Arabidopsis thaliana: one gene and its partners. The protein of the gene in region 2 interacts with the protein of the main gene of each other region in a pairwise test. Each region holds a gene or a part of one and is shown on either strand. Other genes may lie near its edges. The genes, in order: UBC29, LUL3, AT5G48385 and UBC18.

Region 1 (3,605 bases), on a different chromosome or scaffold from region 2:
ATCGACCGATTTCGTCTTCTTCTCTTTGTCATCGCTTGAGAGAGCTCCAGAGAAGGAGAGGAGAATCACGAGAACGGCTAGTAAAAGCCATGAATGATCAGAAGAATGTATTTTCATTTGACTATCTTCTTCTTCTTCTTCTTCTTCTTGAGGATTTTTAAATTTAAACAAGAATCCACCTAAAGGGATATCTTCCTTGTCAGAGAAATAAAAACTTTAGAGAAAGAAAATGAAATAAGAGAATGTTTCGCAGAGAACATAAGGTTTCAGAGAAATTCACGTATTCTCAATTTGAGATTCCACATTTTGTTTGTAAATAAAACTTCCAATAACTCTCCCTTTTATTTCCTTATTTCCTCCTTTCATTTTGTTTTCGTTGAATTTTCTAATTTTAAGGTTTTTGGTTGAAGAGCCTAATTTGGCGGGTATACACACAATGACTTCTCTCAATCACCACCAAAAAGAAATGTGAGCCAATGCTTATGTTGAGAAGGTGCGTATTACACCAAAAAAAAATGGTTCATACGAAACCAATGATTTTATTTTATTTTATTATGTTCATTATAAACACCACTTTTGGTTCTTCTTTAATTGTGGAAATGTGGATTAAATCCATGAGAGATCTAACAAAAATTTGTGTAACCTGTTATCTAGTTATTATTCTTTGTCTACAAGTTGAGTAAATTTTTTTGCTGTAATTTGGATTATCATCGTTTAAACCTTTAGCTTATTTCTAACTTTAAATATCATAACGGCAAAAATTGTAAAAGCTTTGGTATGCTTCTTTTACGTAAAATACATAAATGTGTTGACCGTGTGGTTGAAGATTGAAAGCAAAGCAAACAACATTTGTTACAAAAAAAATGGCTATTTTTTTAAGTAATCAATTAATCGTCTTTTAAAAAATCGAGACCAACTATTGTTGAGAATTATTTTCCTCCCGTAATCACCATCATAAAATATCGGTTGGGCAAATCACGTAGCATGCATGTACATTAACTTTGGACTAACAGCTGTGGAGTTTCTTCTTATAGCAATATTCAAAAGACCTAATAAGTCTGAAATAAACAGAGGCTTGAAGGTTATACTTAGATTGAAAGGCAATGATTTACATTTACATATATAGGTTGATCAATGACGATCTCTACGATATGTTGTGATATAAATCTTTAAAATAAGGAAATAATATATGCATCACTGATTTGTGGAGTGTTCCTCACTCGACGCCACTCTGATTTGTAAATTTTTTATTGTAAAATTTTAAAGTATGTAAATAGGGCCTATAATTTTTTTTCCTAATGATACATGGGCCTATAATCTTAAGAAACTTTTGAAATGGGTCCTATAAGTTTTCAATAACTATTTTACCTCATCAAATGTATGTTATGATTTATGATTATATTTGTTGAACATGATGCTCATCACCCATCACTTTGCTGGTCCAGTGAACGTGGACAATAAGATTAAGAACAAAGGATATTGTAATAACCATTCTTTATGTTAAGTTATTCTGATTCTCAGACTTTATCAAATCCCATTATAGACCGTTCAATAGATATGGTATATTACAGTAAGCATGTACGTAAGACCATCCACTTCAAGGCACGTCTCTCTTTCAGAATCAGAACAAAAGAATGGATCTTTCTCCATTACCTTTATGGGCAAAGCGGGCGGCTAAAAAGAGACTTTACAATGGTAAATCTTTACTTAAACAATGATAAATGCAATAGTGCAAGCATTCCTGTTTGCAAGAGAATCACAAATCTTTGCTTACGGTTCACGCTTTAAAAACACAACTCTCATTCTCCTTCTCTTCACAAACCACTCATATTTTTTTTCACATACTTCTTTGTAGTGCTACTTTCCATTATATCAAACACTCAGCAACCTGATGGCAACGAGACGGATATTGAAAGAATTGAAGGAGTTGCAAAGAGACCCTCCTGTATCATGCAGTGCAGGTAAAGGATCACAATTTGTTCTTAATACAATATAAGCCATGTATCAGAAATTTTTTCTAAAGATTTTGATATTTCCTTTCTCCTTGGTTTGGGATTTTTAGGTCCAACAGGAGAAGATATGTTCCACTGGCAAGCTACTATAATGGGTCCGAATGAAAGTCCTTACTCCGGAGGTGTTTTCCTTGTCAATATTCATTTCCCTCCTGATTATCCTTTTAAACCTCCCAAGGTAACAACTTTCTCAACAATTTTTTTGTTTTTTAATCTACTTCTTAAATCCAATAACCAAAAGGCACAAAACCAACATTAAATATTGGATCGTTTATGATCTTTTGGAACCTTAAGTTTTGATCTTTATTTTCAATCTTTTTCTTCTTCTTTACTCTTGTTGTTATGTTTGTTTGATAAAATCAGGTTGTATTCAGAACCAAAGTGTTTCACCCAAACATCAACAGTAATGGAAACATATGTTTGGACATTCTCAAAGACCAATGGAGCCCTGCCCTTACCATTTCTAAGGTTTGAAATTCTATATATGTATTTAGTTATTTGTCAATATTTTCTATAATTCCATATATCAGATTTGGTATATAACCAAGAAGCTCCAATAGGTAACACAAATTACTAACATTTTGGTATTATAGGTGCTTCTCTCTATATGCTCTCTTCTAACAGATCCAAACCCTGACGACCCTCTGGTGCCAGAGATAGCTCACATATACAAAACTGACAAGACCAAATATGAAGCCATGGCTCGAAGCTGGACCCAGAAGTATGCCTTGTTTTAAAGCTCACAATTCCTCTTTTTTTCCTTTTTATTTTGGTTTGGTCTTATTTGTAATAAAAAAAGAAGAAGAAGAAATTGTTATAATTTTAATACAAACATATATAATATATAAAGTAGAGTTTTCAAAGTTGTTAACTCATATGATTGATGAGATATCGACATGTATTAAATCTAATTTTGTTAATATATAAAAAATCTTCTAACCCTATCGGGAAAATAAAATATATACATAAATCACAAAAATTATTTATATAATCAAAAAATTTAATTATATTTTATATAATAAAATAATTCATATTATTAGCGAATTTGTTTTTTTTAAAGGACCGTTCAAATATGTTTTTTTGTGTATTTTGTCGAAATTTTTGTTATTTTTCTTTTTATTTTGTTAAAATAACTCTAAAATATAGATTTCAAACAACACATAAAATAGTGAGATGCATAGATAAAGGTTATAATGGGAAAACTCAATAGTATCAAAGATAAATGAGAATTAATTATAGTCATGTTTGTGTAAAAAATTTAGGACAAGTTACTAATATTTAAAGTTTAAGCCTAGTTATTTAGTAAACAACAAAAATAACTTACGTTATCTAACGATATTTTTGGAGAATAGATAGATTGAAATAAGAGTTAGAACACTAAATATTGAAAACGTGTGTGGGTTACTATTTAAAATTTAAATATCATAAAGAATTAAAACACGAAGATGAAATATGTAGAAATATTTTTTCAGCTCTTATCCATTAAAATGAAATATATAGAATTAAAATTCAGTATATTTTCATGAAATATATAGTTAAATTATTGCAAAATAGAATGGATAAAATTAAATTTTGGTTTTAAAATATTTAGAT
Region 2 (4,830 bases):
ATGGAGAAATAATATTGCTTGTAAAGAGAGTCACTTCACTACTATCAAACAAAGACTTTTTTTTATTCCTCATTTCAAAAGTTTGAGCATTCTGTCAAAAAGAATGAACTCAAGCTTCACTTTTTTTTTAAAACTTTTTTCTTTCTCAGGCTTAACTTCAATAGGAAACATTCTCCATCTCCTACCAGCTTTTCCTTTTATTTGAGCCTTTTTTACAGACAAAAAGCAAAAAGGAGAGAAGAAAAAAAGATTACTTCTTTGAATGTTCTCATCAACTTCAGTTCCCATCTCTCTTTATTTTCTTTTGAATCTTTGTAATTATCAAGGTCCCCATTTTCTCATCTACACAAACTTTTACTTTCTCAAAAAGAAAGAGTTAAAAGAAAGCCAAATTAGGGACACATAGAGCTATCCAAGACTCTTGCAGATTTTTCCTGTCTATTTTTGATATAGAATTGTGGTTACTAGGAGGTTCGGTTTCTAGATTATAAACCCGAAACGTTACGATAAACAACATATGATTGCAAGTTATATTTGAGCAATGCCCAAACCAAAAAGTATTCAGTTACAGAATGAGTGTTTCAAGTAGAAAGATACAAAGAGAAAGTTTCTCAAGAACCATTGGAGCTATATATACATTACTGACTTTTTTTTCTTTGAGTTTCCCAAAACTAAGACCAACAAATATGTGCAAGAGTATGACATGAGAAAACACATTTGTATAAGAAAAAAGGGCAAAAGAATTCGATTTGACGGTTTTCAAAAAGAAGAAGAAGAAAGAATCAAACATGGTGTTTAAGTGAAGGGAAGAAACCTCTTTTTCAGTGTTGTTCATCACTACTTTCCACTTTAATCTTTACAAGCTCATGGATAGGTTGTCTACAAATGGGACATTTGTTTGTCTGAAACCTCAGTTCTTCTGCGCAATCACTGCACAAACACTGCAACAGACAACACAACATGATTTAGTCTTGATGACAATTCAACCAAAAAGTTATGGTCTTGTGAAAGACTTGATGTAGATTTGCTTTAGAGACAATCAACAGCAATATGAAGCAAGTCTAAAATGACAGAATTTGCTTGTTCCATAACTGAAACGCTACCAACGATTTATAGGTTTACCGAGTAAATGAAAAAAATTGCGTTTAGAAGAATTGAAGAAAGCAAAGAGAATTGCTAGAAGTTTGTACCAAATGTCTACAAGGCATGACGGCTGTGTCCTTAGGTTCAGTCAAGCAAATGACACATTCTTTGCCACCAGTATCCTCTAACCCCGATGCAGCAGTACCTTGTGTGATTGAATTATCGATTCCATACAACTCTTGTAGTTCATATCGTTCTCCTTCAATCCATAGAATCTGTTTCATGACTTTCACTTTGAAAGATCCATCATTAGTCTTCTCCAAAACCGCTTGAGTGATCTGCTTATGAACTAATGGTTCCTCTGAAACCGAGCTTGGTGATATTACTGTCTCGGCTGATATTACAAGTGGGTACACCTCTTCTGGTGATGGTTTCGATAGATCATCCAGTGAAAAGAAGCCTAGGTCGATTCCTGTCCCTGGAGCTTGTAGAAACTTCTGCCCGGCACCTTTTTGGAAAGGGACTTTGATTGGTGGGAAAGCTTCTGGTAAATGAGGGACGATTGTGCACTTTGATTCCTCTTCTCCAAAAAATATGATAGTGAAACTGAAAATGAGACAAGTAACATAATGAGACTCCTCGTCAGATAATCTTAATACCTAAACTTGGTATGCAACACAGGAGAGTAATAAGGTTGATTCAGTTGCTAACTAGCTTAGTAGTTCCGAACCATTAAATGAACTACAATAACTCCTAAAATCAATCAGTTATGTAACTGAAGCCTGTATTGTTTGGTTTCTGAACCAATCACATATTCATCACCTAGATCATGTCAAATTTTAACCTTTTTCATCCCAAATTGTGGCAACACATAATTCAGAACTGAAACATGAGTAAAGATGTTTCCTTTTAATCAATCTCGTCCCAGCAAAAACCCTAACTTTCACTGAATAAATGAGTCATATCATGTAAAGTTTGAACCTTTACGATCCAAATTTGAGATTCAGTATAATCTACAAGACCCCTCTACGCTAATTAGCCAATCTCATTCAAATTCTGGTTCTAAAGTCGGAAACTTGACTCAAATTTTGGAGTGAAGAAGTTATACCTGCCATCGAATAAGGCATCGAAGACGAAGGAAACAAGATAATGACCAGGGTTAAGATCGTCAGCTACGAGCCTCACCGTAGCTTTATTCACATTGACATCGTTCTTAACCTTCTTAGCGGTCTGATGCTCCACATAAGGTGCAGGCGGTTCCATAACCGCAACCGGAGTCGGACCGAAATAAACCGGCCTCATCATCGGATTAAACCCATTGTGATGATAACCGGTGAAATACGGAGGAGCTTGTTGCGGGTAGTATTGGTTTTGATGGTAGTTTTGACCGTACGGTCGGTAACTAATCTGCGACGGAGGAGGCTGAGAAGAAGACGGTGGCTGAGCCGGTGGTGGAGGAAGAGAGAGCTGTGGAGTTGAAACGGGGTAATTGTGAGAGTAGCTATACCCGTTTTGAGGCGGCGGTTGTTGTGGTGGAGGATCGGAGTAATAGTACGGCGGATTGTGGTGGGGATGGTGGTGGTTGTTGTTGTTGTCTCGTCGACGCTTGCTTAAGGAGATCCCCATAGCCTCTGAAGAAACGAGACAAGAGAGACAGAGAGACGAAAGTCAGATCAAAAGATTTGTCTTCCGGTGAAGATTATTATTTACATTATTTTTACTTTACGCAGTTACTGCCAGATTTACTGCAATTTTTGTAATAAAAGTCAACGCGTGTAACTTTTTTTTTAATCGGATGTTCCCGAAGACATGACCGTCTAACGAAAGAGACAAGACCGTTTCTTCTTGTTCAAATCTAGAAAACACACATACATGACGTTTTTCGAATAGCATTATTGATAGAGAAAAACTATGAAAAATCAACTAATACCTTATGAATTTCAAACGTGGTGTTTTATAGTTGACCACATATATCAACAAGTTCTTAACTTTGAATATTATGTTAGTAAATTATATTCAGATCATTTATAAAAGTTTACAAGTTTTCATCTTAATTTTGGTTTTCTTCCAATTATGTTATTAAGATGAGATTTTAAATAGTCCAAAATAGTTGAGCCAATATCATAAAAGCTAATTTTGGTTATGAATATACCCATATATTCAATTGATGGGTTCAATTTATGCATAACAGATTCTGTGTATAATAAATATACCTTTAGTCGTATTCAACAATCTTCATTGAATATTGGTTTAGGAGATTTTTAAGATACCTGTAACATTTTTAGGTCATAGATATGTTTAGAATGCTTGTGAATGTCAACAAAATATCTGATTAGCTGGAGCAATTAGAAACTCAAACCAAAATCCATTTAGTTTCTTTTTATTCATCCAATATTTTAAATCTCTGTGAACTAATAATTACATCTCAAAGTTACTAAGAAAAATAACTTTTTAAAAATAATTTTTAATCTATGTTATTATTATACAAACCAAGAAAACTAAGCTTTGTATGTTAAAATAAAGATTATACAAAGTAAGTATTCATCATCTTAATTTTAATGACTATGGTTTACTTGGTCTTGAGGTTGTTGTGCATCTATCTTTATCAAGAGAGGCTCATTTAAATCCGTCGAAGCATCATCAGTAACGGTCAGCTCCGGCAAGGCTGCAACCGCTTCGTTCATGTCTCCTCCGTGCTCTGCTAAAGCTTTTCTTAGAGCGTCCTTCGCCACCTTTGTAACACACACCATTAATATCACTGCAAAGAAACAGATAGAAGAAGGAACTTGTAACATTAGTGATTCTGCCGCAATCGAAGGAACTAGTAACATTAGTTATGCCGAACTAACCGGATATTACAAGGCTCGAAATCAAGAACGCCTGCAGATTGCGGAAAACAGGTCAGAATAGAGATTGAAACAAGAAGCTGAGAATGTAATTAAAATTTGTGTAGATCTTACCCAGCGACCTGGCGAGAACTCGCTCCACTTGTGAGTTACATCAGAAAGGTCTTTTAGAGTTGTTCCAACATACACTAACGCAAGTGTTATTGGCTGCAAATTAACAATGTATCAAGCTGTATTATTTCCATCTTACAATTTAAACATTTTGCAGTCGTTATGAAGTGGTGGATTAGAATAGATTACCATCATCCCTAACCACGAAGAAAGCAAGTATGGACCTAGCCGAATTGGCGTGACAGATAAGAGGTAGTTCAACATGCTGAACGGAAGAAGAGGAGCAAGCCGGAGCAACAAGCATATCTATATTCAGTTTTGCATATTCATAAGTTTCAAAAGAAGAGTGTCAGCACAAAACTTGTAATGGGTTCTCAGTGCAAACCTTGAAGCCGGATTTCTCTATCGCGAGTGCCACTGATTGAAACTGAGGATAATCCTTTAATTTTGCAACTACAAAAGGTTTTCCAATCTGCATAAGAGCATTTTCATGTAAGTACCAAAATATCAAAAAAGGATAGCGTCAGTGGTTTATGCATGTCACTTCATTAATCTAATGGTTGTGTCTGCAAATCAATAAGAATTTGAGTGGCTTACCGTACGGCCTAGTAGAAATGCAGCTCCTGAGCCAAGTGTAGCACCGACTGAGTCCGCCACAAAACCAATTGGCAGCCCAAAAAGGTAGCCACCACCGAGCTGAATATATCACAGCTTCAACCAAATAAGATTTCTCAATTTTATAGATAAACCAGTCACTCTAACAAAGAAAGTTGAGAGTGGATGATAGCGG
Region 3 (5,676 bases), about 13 Mb from region 2:
TTTCTTGAGACTGTGATAAACAAGACCGGTCTTATAGTAGAATAGAGAGGACTTAATCGTCGGAGATGGAACACCGGTAACGTCCTTAGCGAGAAAAAGCATATCGGCGGCAACATGTCTGAGATTCGCAATGTTCTCGGCGGAGGTTAAAGAGGATTGGAGAGAGGCGGCGTTAGCGAGATCAACACAAGCATTCCAGAGGCGAAAGCTGAGTTTCCATATGGTAAGCTTGAAGGAGTTATCGGGAAAAGGAGCAAGTTGACTCAGCCGAGTTAGGAATTGTCTAAGAGAAATAGGGAGAGATTGAGGTAGCGGCTGATCTTTGGAAATGGCTTCAGATTGTTGGATTAAGAGCTCGATCTCGGAGAGAAGAGGATGGTGAGTGTGTGAATCGGTTTCCCGGTGATGTAACCGGAGGTCCGGCGTGGTGATCTCGGCGATTCTCATTTCGATTGTTGGCGGGAGATTTCAGAGAGAGAATTGGGAATTTCGAAGGACCGAGTCTGAGAGAATAAGATATTTTCGAAATTCAAATTAGGGTTAGTATTGTAATTTACACCTCCTGTGTAGGTTAAGGAAAAATAATAAAATACAACATTAAAGATATAATAATTAATAAGAAAATCTGAGTATTTTTTTGTTTTTTGTTTTGAGTAGGGTTGATCCTTAAAAATACTAAAACCATCCGTACACAACAACAACATCAAAGGGAAAGAGAACTAAGGAGAGGAGTTAAAAAAGAGCTGCCACAAGTTAACACCAAAGGGGAGTCACAGTCACAGTCACATTTTACCATTCACCTTTTTTTATCACTAGTGAAAGTAAGGAGGAGGAGGAGGAGCCTGGTACTGATAGCAGTTCGCGTAGAAGTTCCCATGTGCAGGAGCAGGATTGAACGTGTAAGTCTGAGGAGGAGGAGGTGGTGGAGGTTGTGCTGCCATGATTGGACCGCTAAGGAACGGTCTGTTGTCATAGACATACTGCGGATACCTTTCAGGGATGACTCTACCGTATCCTGTCTTGTTGTTGTTGATGTTGTTGTTGTTGTCAGTGACTCGGGGTTGAGCACCACGTGGTCGTTTTGGCTGAGGTTTCATGGGTTCTGTTGCTCTCTTTTTGTCCGCTTTGGCTTTCTCGAGCTGGAGAATCCGTTTGTGAAGTGGCTCAACTGGGTACTGCTCTTCCAGGCTATGCTCTTCGATACACTTTATAACGGTTTTGAGGCCTATAAGCTCCCGCTCATTGAACTCATCCTGCATTGGTACACACATAATAATGTACAACAATATGAGACTGATCCTGCATCAGCAAGTACTATGATATACGCCTAAAGTAATTGATAATGAAAGCATCGGTTTTCAGTTTCAAATGGTGTTAGAAGTCTGGAGTAAAATATGACAGCTAACTGAACAGAGCTCAGGAATGTTCCAGCGAGGTAAGATTTACTTTTTCAAATAGCCAGATGCTCGAGAAAAGGTAACGAGTTCAATAAAAGATAAGATCACTCGTTCTAGGCAAAATGCATTAATATAGCCCTTCATTTTCACCAACAAGGTAATCTATAACTGCAAGTTATCAAGTCAGGGAACACTTGCCTGAACAGCAGGAGATGCATTGCCAGGTCTGCCTTGGGGGGAAGATCGCCTTGCCTCTATCAAGTAAGATTTCAGTAATGAGACAGGTGAGAACTGTTCTGTGAGTTCAAACGCAAATGCCAAGTTAACCGCATCAATCTGTTTTCCACTGTTCACGAGAACTTCAATCACACCTGGAATAAAAGGAGCAGTGCACATTAAAGATAAGATCAAGGGATAAGGTAGAGAATCTGGGTGTAAACTAAACAAGGAAAAACACAGATATCCACCATGTTTAGGCCCTTGACCAGAGACCCTATCACTCACTAAATAGTTACTATCAAACATCAACTTTCCTATCGAAATGTCATAACCTGTAAGATAATCAGCCATATACTAAAAGTTAAGAGAACAAACCAGGCATTTTTTCAGCTAATCCAAGTGAACGGCAGAGCTCAGCTGCCTGACGGCGACGTGAAACCATGGGGATCAGCTTTAAGAGTTCATCTTCTTTAAAATCAGCAACAATAGCAAAAGTGGCCAGCAGTTGCAGGAATGCATGAGCCTCCAAAGAATTACCATTGCAAGCATCCATGTCAAGAGATTCCAGCAGTGGATTCCATCCTTCTGCAATAGTTTTGGCTCTATGCTTAACATTTTGTGAGAGAACAACAGCAAGGCAGTTGCGGTCCAGACCAGATAACAGTATGCTAAGGCACTCCATCAACATGATACAGGTTCTGCGCATGCCCAAGAGGTTAGCGTCTTTTTTTCCATCAGCAGTTGGTGCCTCCATAGGGTAAAACCCTTCCAAAGAGTCCAACACTAAGCTGGCTGGGTTTGCTGCAGCCCTGAACGCCATAGGAATCTCCTCCTTTAGTGATGCAAGGTTCTTGCGGTTATCTGATACAAACTTATGGAGACCCGTTGAGTCCATATCCCCGCACAGTTTCAGTAACTGTGGATAAGCCTTCACCTCATAATTTCCCATCACAGGTGAGATCTGAACATCTTGCACAATACCATCCGGATTATCATCGGTAATACTATCAGCAGCAAAGACATTGGATGAATCCTCTACAGCATTTTGTGGCCAACGTTCACCAACAGAAGGTTTACTGACAGGAGCGTTGTTATACTTATCCAAAGCACTGTTTATAGTAAACATAGCTGCGTCTCTCTTCTTCTGAAGCCTTTCAAGCGCCGCCTTCTCCTTAGCCTCAACAGCTGCCTTCTTTTTCTCCAACAGTTCTTGAGCTTTCCTTGTTTTGGTTTCATACTCTTTTTCTTGATCTTCAAGCTCATGAAACCTTCTCTTCAAAGACCTCTCAAGCCCATGAAAATGCTCCTCAAGTTCCTTCCACTTCAGATTAAGTGTTACAGCACGCTGACTTTCAAGTTCAGCAAACGCCTTCTGAAGCTGCTGAATCTTGGATGATGTAGAGTCCATGAGTGAAGCAACTGACCGAGTATCCTCCATCACAAAAGAGCCTAAATAAAACGGAAATTTAAGTAATGATTAAAAAGTCCCGAACAAATAAAAACAAACATGAGTACAACGACATTAGAGGCCAGACACAATATTGTTACCAATTCAAACAAGTCCAATCTCCAAGCTGCGAATAGAGAGCTCCACGAAATCTCGATCCTTGAACAACAAACAACTACAAAAAAAAAAATCATCAAGAACAGATAAACAAAGATCAGTCAAAACTATCCAATGACAATATCACTCGTTAAAGATAAAAACAAATTAGCTCTGTAACAAGACCGTACAAGTCATAGTGGACAACTATGTAAGAAAATGGCCTACAAGGCAAGTAAAGACAAATGAACAAGAAACCCCCAAAAAAATGAATCCATTCAAGAAAAATTCACACTATTTTTTAGTCACAAAGATAATTCAACCTCAAGAACTAATCAGACGTACTTATAAAAAAATTAGCTGAAATAATACAAATACAGATTAAGAGAAGAGTAGATGACGAAATGAGAGTAGAAACAAGCAAGCTGATTCAGTGATTCTATGAAATCCCAGCTTAATCCATCACATAAACAAACTTCACGACCAAAATTCAAGGTCATAGCAGAAATTTTGAGCTATATTGTGGAGAAATCAACAAACCCTAGCTACAGTGAAGAGAACACGAACATGAACTCAAAACAAAAAAAAAGTATATACCTCAAGAGAAGATAAAAAAAAAGCAACTTTACCAGGAAAATCAAACGAAGTAAAAACCCGTAAGAAGAAGAGATCAAAAAACTTCAAGAAGGACCACATGATCGTAGATCCATGGTGAAGAGCGATCGAGAGAAATCGAGGTTAGGCAGAGAGAGAGAGAGAGAGAAGAGGAAAGTGAAATCCCTAAAAAGGAAAGAGGAAAGTAGAAGAGAGGCAAAATAAAAGGAAGCAAAGCGATTTATAACAGACACTTTATTAAGCACACCCAATTTTACTTAGTTGGCACGTGAGAGAGACTGGTGTGGTTTAATGGCTCGTTCTTCACTATCATATCTGGTTCGGACCAGACAGCTTATGTGGCTCTAGTCAAACCCTTTAAAGTTTGCGTCACGTGAGTTTGTCTGAAACTGCCGGGAACTTGTAATTTACTCTTTCCTCCTTTTTTTCTATTAATTGGTATATTCACCATCTATGTGTATCAATCACTCTTTAAATTCCTTAACTTTTTTTACCAAACACCCAATCTTTTTAACCTGTTGACGAAGCTTTGGCTTCATGCTTAAGGCTATGTTATAATGGGGAAAAAACTAGATTGCACAATCTTTCATAGACTGATATTCTTCATCGGATGTTTCGATCATATAAATTGTCTCCAAGGATGAAACTATGTGTCTAATTTTTTTGAATGCAAAATTTATATATGATTGTTTTCTTAATAAGAGCAACAATGAAAATATAGTTTGGTTATACATTGGTATTTGTCAAAGAGGAAAGACTAAACCAAGAGTAAATAAATCTTACAACTTCCCAAATTGTTGGAATTCTACAATTGTATTATATATGGTGAATGATTTGGTACAAAACATTACAAATATCAAATGAATTTCGAAGTTGGTTCAGGTCACGAATGGCGGATTTGGCTTGGGAGAGACTAGAGGTTGTGATTCGTGGTTTATCTCCTCTCTAAAATCGTTATGTTACAAACTGACTATCAAGGATAATCATATCAATCAAGATAATGAAGAGAATCAATATCGTCAATCACGTTAATTGCTCATAATCATTGTATACAATATTAAGTTTCCTTCAGTAGCTTTCTAGTCTTTGTATATAAACACTCTGTAATCATCTTGTTTCATATATTCGATATACTCTTAGTCTACATGGTATTAGAGTCTCTGTATATAAACACTCTGTAAAATTTCTAAAATCGTTATGTTACAAACTGACAATACATAAACAACACGAATTAACATTTTGGGGTGTTTGCTGAACCGTGGTTGGCGGGTACATCTGCTAAATGAACAAGCTTTTTATATATATATATATATATATAACTGTCAACCCATAATTTAAAGATTCCAACAACAACAAAATAAGTACTACTCCTAATAAGTATTTAAATATGTGACATGATATTCAATTTTTGTGATACAAATTATTATGCATTGGTATTTGTCAAAAACTAATACCAAGAAAACATTTCTTGTAAATGTCATATTCCATTCTTTGATTTGGTCAAAACACCAAAACCATTTACAAAATATCCAGAATTATCTAAAAACGAATGAAAAGCGAAAAATACCAAATGGAAGAAAAATTTGTCCATCTCCTAACAAACAAGATAATATATATGATGATGTTGAAAAGTCAAAAAGAGAAGAAAGAAAAAAAAAACATTTAACGCGCAAAGACCGATTTGGTTTTTGTTGGGAGTCATTGCGTTCTCATCATCAGTGTCTCTCTTTTCTTTGCCCCATTCTTCACGAACTTTCACTAGACGACGACGACGATCCAAAGTCCCAGTCAACTCACTCACAAAGACGACTCCTTTATTAAATTATTCCCAACTCCTTTCTTCATCATCATCATCATCATCATTCATAACCACTTAGCCACAGATGCGATTTTCTTCTCCTT
Region 4 (4,548 bases), about 11 Mb from region 2:
AATTTTGAAAACGGACATATATTAATTGATAAACGAAAAATATATGGATTTAAGCTAAAATGTTTAAATCTGATGACAAGAAAAAGAAAAAAAAAAGCTAACATGTTTAGGGGATGATTCAAAATCATATCATAAATAAGATCAACATTAATAAAATAATTTTTGAGTGGGACGTGTTTGACGGTATCTTACTTAATAACAATTGTAAACTATAAAATATAAATATTTTATAAATAAAAACAATTTGCAAACTTTTATATATACTAACTTTAGGAAAAAAAATTGTCTCACTCATGATGTACCTTTATTATAAAAACATAAAATTAATTAAGTAATGATATTTTCGATTTTTTTCTAGCGCAATAAGAATAGAATTACCGTAAAAAAATAAAAATAAGATTAGGATTAAATTAGCTAGGACAACTTTTTCAAAAAGAAAATTAACATGCCGAAATCATGAACGTCGTAAATCATCAAACAGCTAGGATTCGTTGTATCATACACTTAAAATGATTAGAGAGTTGATCTATTACTCTAGAGTTTACTTGCAATGATCTCAAACATAAAAATATTAAAACGTTTATTTGATTCCCTATGCAATGAAAAGTGAAGATCTTTATGATTAGCACGGAATTTTCCAAGCTTAACTTTTGACTTTTGTCTCCCTAATCATTCATTAATAACCACTTCATGTCTTTATAAAAAGCACCCCGTACGAAGTTCTTCACTCAAAGCTCCTCATACCATAGTATATTTTGAGCTTTCTAATCACATAGTAATAATTTTGAAAATGGCGATCCTAACTCCCGTCATTAAACTCGTTGTTTTTAGGCAAAGTCTACGACCACATTCTGCTATTGCATTCCTCGTTGAGTTTCTTTGCTTCGTCTTAGAATTACTCGACAAGGAGAAAGATCTAGCCAAAATATTCGGTATCGTATGTGCTTGCGACACATTAATCTTCACTTTGCTCGATCTTATCCAAAGTTTGATCGAGGAAGAAGTGAAAATACAAAGATGCGGCCGAGTGTTTTGGCTTTACACAAACGATGGGAGCCTCTATTGGCACACATTAAACGCATATCTTTTGATGTTATGCATTGTCCACGTCATCGGTTCCACGATCTCTTACGTTTCTCATAAACATTATCTAGTCTTGCTCCCGCTTTTCGCAGCCGGACTCGAACTCGTCCCACAAGAAGCCTATCGAGTTCTTGGACCGGATCAAGAGTCTGGAAATTCTATTGAGCCTCTTAATGGTCCATTAAATGGTATTGAGCTTGAACAAGGAATGGTTGTTCATGTTGAGCCTCTTCAAGAGCCACTAGATGGTATTGAGCTAGAGCAAGAACTCGTCCCACAAGAAACCAATCGGGTTCTTGGACCGGACCAAGAGTCACAAAACTGTATCGGGGCTCTTAATGACCCATCAGATGGAAAAGACCAAAACCTTCAAGATGATATTGTGCTAGATCAAGAGTCACAAGATTGTATTATTGCACCTCATCAATGTCCATTAGATGGTATTGACCTACAACAAGAAACGGTAGTTCACGTTGAGCCTCTTCAAGACCCACTAGATGGTATTGAGCTAGAGCAAGAAGTGGCTATTCATGTTGGGCCAAATGATGACCCATAAACTATTAGAAGCCTACTATAGAATGAAAGCTGAAACATTATATAGATGGAGACGTATGTTTAATGTAATGTACTTTGTCTTAAAAACTTATGTACTTATGATCGTACGACTTTGGTAGCTACAATGTAAGAGAATCTTTGTTACAAAAAAAAATCTATAAATAAAATCGACTCTTCAATGTCCCGTGGAGTCAGTGAAGGATAAACGACACGTGTGAACACGAAGGAAGATTAATAGCCGTCCGATGAAAATGGTTAATTTTGTAATTTTGACTCTTTCACGTGTGCCCTTTCCTCACCCCGAAAAATATTTTTATTTCCTTTTGTTTACACTTTTTGATTTCATTTTCAATAATAATAATATTCGAGTAGAAGAAGAAAGATCCAGACAAAAGCTTAAGCAAGACCTCTCTGTCTTCGTCTCTCTCTCTCTCTCTCTTTGTCTCCGCCATGACAAGCTCTTCATCTCCTTCACGCAAGGTTCTTAGATTCTCTCACTCTTGTCTTCTTATGTGTTTTTTGATTCTCCGATTGTGATTTTTTGAATTTTTGAGATTTGTGTAGGCGTTAAGCAAGATCGCGTGTAATAGGTTACAAAAGGAGTTATCAGAGTGGCAAGTAAATCCACCGACTGGGTTTAAGCACAGAGTTACTGATAATCTTCAAAAGTAATTTTCATTTCAAAATCTTTCCTTTTTTTGATTATTTATCATTTCGATTTTTGATTGTTTTTTTTGTTTTTGTGTGATTTAAAGATGGGTAATTGAGGTAACAGGAGCACCTGGTACGCTTTACGCTAATGAAACTTATAATCTTCAGGTTGAGTTTCCTCAACATTATCCTATGGAAGCTCCTCAGGCAAGTTTTTCATTGTGTTGGTTTTGTTCTGAAAAATTTGTTGTTTTTGATTAAGGGTTTATTTCAAATTTCTTAATTGTGGATTAATTAACTGAAACCAGAGTGTTTTTATGGTTGTATTGCATGTTTTAGGTCAGAGAATTAGTTTGAGATATAGTGACATTTTCTCTACTTGGTTTTGTGCTGTGTTCTGATTTTCATGTGTTTGGTTTTTGATCAGGTGATTTTTGTTCCACCAGCACCGTTACATCCTCATATTTACAGCAATGGACATATTTGTTTAGGTAATTTTACTCATTGTTTCTACACTACTTACTCTTTGCATTTGCTCTTACTTTTTGGTTTCTCTGAAATGCTAGCTCAAGTCATGTGTGTGTCAATCAAATTAGTTTATCTGTTTGATACTTACATATATAGGTTGTTCTTGTTCACGGAATGTAATGTAGCGAAAAGAGAAGCAATGTTAGTAACAATACCCTTAAGAGTCCTAATATATTATATCAACATTGTTACCAGTCTTAACCTTTTTCTCAGTCTGTCTCATTCTTAAAGAGTTCCTAATACTAGCGTCGCATGACATGAAATTAGGTGTGAATGTGTTATCAACGCCATAAAGAAAACCAATACCGTCCCTTTTGGACTCTATGGTGAATTCTTTAGCAAAATCAGAATCTGATCCATGATTATAACAGCCTCTCAATTTCTAGTTATATTGAAACTCCCTTTGGAATGTTGATCAAATAACTTGAAACTCCCATTTGAGTTAAAATCAAATAACACATTTTAGTTTTGCTGTTTTCACTAAACAATAAGAACATGAAAGTTTTATGTAAATTTCTTAAATCTGTTCTCAATGCATCTAAATCCGGTCTAATGAAATCGTGGTGGAACTGAACCATTTGTTACAATACATAATCACGATTATACCCGGCCTCATTTTAGGAGAAAGTCCATTAGGATTATGCGCTTAATATAACACACTCTCTAATTCCTTTTTGTAGATATTCTGTATGACTCATGGTCTCCAGCAATGACAGTGAGTTCAGTCTGCATCAGCATCCTCTCAATGCTATCAAGTTCCCCCGAAAAGGTTTCTACATTTGATCTCTCACACTTTGTATTGTTGTCACAAATTCAAACTTTTTGACCCTGCCACACAACTCTTACTATGTCTTATTGTCGATGACAATATCAGCAACGCCCGACTGATAACGATCGATATGTGAAGAACTGCAAGAACGGGAGGTCTCCTAAAGAGACAAGGTGGTGGTTCCATGACGACAAGGTTTAATGATGACGACCGTAAGATGTCTCTCCTTTCAGTTACAAAAGAGGTTTATATAATTTCCCAAGACTGATAATACTAATTGAAATTCCTCATGGCCTCCCACTTTTTTTTCTGTAACGGATCATTATGTATAAATGACATCTGAAATGTTTCAGTGTCTGAATTAACACCTTGTGCTTTTGTCCTTTCTGAAGTGAAAAACCATGGAGAGTTTAGGCAAAACGAAATTGTATTTGGCAATGTAATTGGATTGATAACTAGTTGGTGTAATGTAATTGAAAATTGAAAAACTAACATAACAATAGAATCCCCAAAGAGTAAACATAACCATGAACGAACAATTAGCATAGCTGCGAGTAATCAAGTTTGCAACAACATTTATTCACCACCACACATAAGAGCACATTTAAGGTGAAAAGACTCGGGCGAACAAAGGATTTATTAAAACACCAAACATATTTTAGCAAAATAGGTAAGAGAGAAAAGCAAATCAAGCAGCAGCAACAACTGTCTTGTGCTTCTCGAGATTGGCAATGATTTCTTCTTTAGCAGCACCAACCACAGTCTCCTTGATCTCTCCTTCTTTCATGAAGATAAACGTTGGCATTGCCTGAACTTTAAACTCCTCAGCAACAGTCTGCACAACAACATAACAAGCAAGATAAAGGCTCAGAGAAGTCAAAAATCCCTAAGTTTGGATATTGGGATAGTGTAAGATTGATGAAGGAAACTCACGTTCAATTCGTCAACATCGACCTTGAAGA

Evidence for each region.
Region 1: the proteins of LUL3 (region 2) and UBC29 interact in a two-hybrid assay, tested with the Arabidopsis thaliana proteins (one large-scale study listed by BioGRID).
Region 3: the proteins of LUL3 (region 2) and AT5G48385 interact in a two-hybrid assay, tested with the Arabidopsis thaliana proteins (one large-scale study listed by BioGRID).
Region 4: the proteins of LUL3 (region 2) and UBC18 interact in a two-hybrid assay, tested with the Arabidopsis thaliana proteins (one large-scale study listed by BioGRID).

What each region holds. Positions count from the first base shown.
Region 1 is NC_003071.7:7,265,989-7,269,593, forward strand, and holds UBC29 (ubiquitin-conjugating enzyme 29), read left to right. Parts: upstream 1-1,733; 5' UTR 1,734-1,891; coding exon 1,892-1,961; intron 1,962-2,062; coding exon 2,063-2,190; intron 2,191-2,375; coding exon 2,376-2,480; intron 2,481-2,605; coding exon 2,606-2,749; 3' UTR 2,750-3,067; downstream 3,068-3,605. Other genes in the region: AT2G16730 (glycosyl hydrolase family 35 protein), read right to left, coding at 1-117. UniProt on the Arabidopsis thaliana protein: Accepts the ubiquitin from the E1 complex and catalyzes its covalent attachment to other proteins.
Region 2 is NC_003076.8:6,376,279-6,381,108, reverse strand, and holds LUL3 (RING/U-box superfamily protein), read right to left. Parts: upstream 2,961-4,830; 5' UTR 2,710-2,960; coding exon 2,192-2,709; intron 1,690-2,191; coding exon 1,191-1,689; intron 942-1,190; coding exon 822-941; 3' UTR 504-821; downstream 1-503. Other genes in the region: AT5G19070 (SNARE associated Golgi protein family), read right to left, coding at 3,639-3,841, 3,933-3,963, 4,044-4,136, 4,230-4,346, 4,426-4,512, 4,638-4,736. UniProt on the Arabidopsis thaliana protein: Acts as an E3 ubiquitin-protein ligase, or as part of E3 complex, which accepts ubiquitin from specific E2 ubiquitin-conjugating enzymes and then transfers it to substrates (in vitro).
Region 3 is NC_003076.8:19,606,849-19,612,524, reverse strand, and holds AT5G48385 (FRIGIDA-like protein), read right to left. Parts: upstream 4,036-5,676; 5' UTR 3,789-4,035; intron 3,239-3,788; 5' UTR 3,165-3,238; intron 3,066-3,164; 5' UTR 3,055-3,065; coding exon 1,992-3,054; intron 1,769-1,991; coding exon 1,596-1,768; intron 1,254-1,595; coding exon 813-1,253; 3' UTR 518-812; downstream 1-517. Other genes in the region: AtSPO22 (Tetratricopeptide repeat (TPR)-like superfamily protein), read right to left, coding at 1-447.
Region 4 is NC_003076.8:17,243,445-17,247,992, reverse strand, and holds UBC18 (ubiquitin-conjugating enzyme 18), read left to right. Parts: upstream 1-2,004; 5' UTR 2,005-2,088; coding exon 2,089-2,118; intron 2,119-2,202; coding exon 2,203-2,306; intron 2,307-2,393; coding exon 2,394-2,496; intron 2,497-2,716; coding exon 2,717-2,780; intron 2,781-3,497; coding exon 3,498-3,586; intron 3,587-3,691; coding exon 3,692-3,787; 3' UTR 3,788-4,006; downstream 4,007-4,548. Other genes in the region: AT5G43000 (uncharacterized protein), read left to right, coding at 791-1,639; TRX3 (thioredoxin 3), read right to left, coding at 4,275-4,421, 4,520-4,548. UniProt on the Arabidopsis thaliana protein: Accepts the ubiquitin from the E1 complex and catalyzes its covalent attachment to other proteins.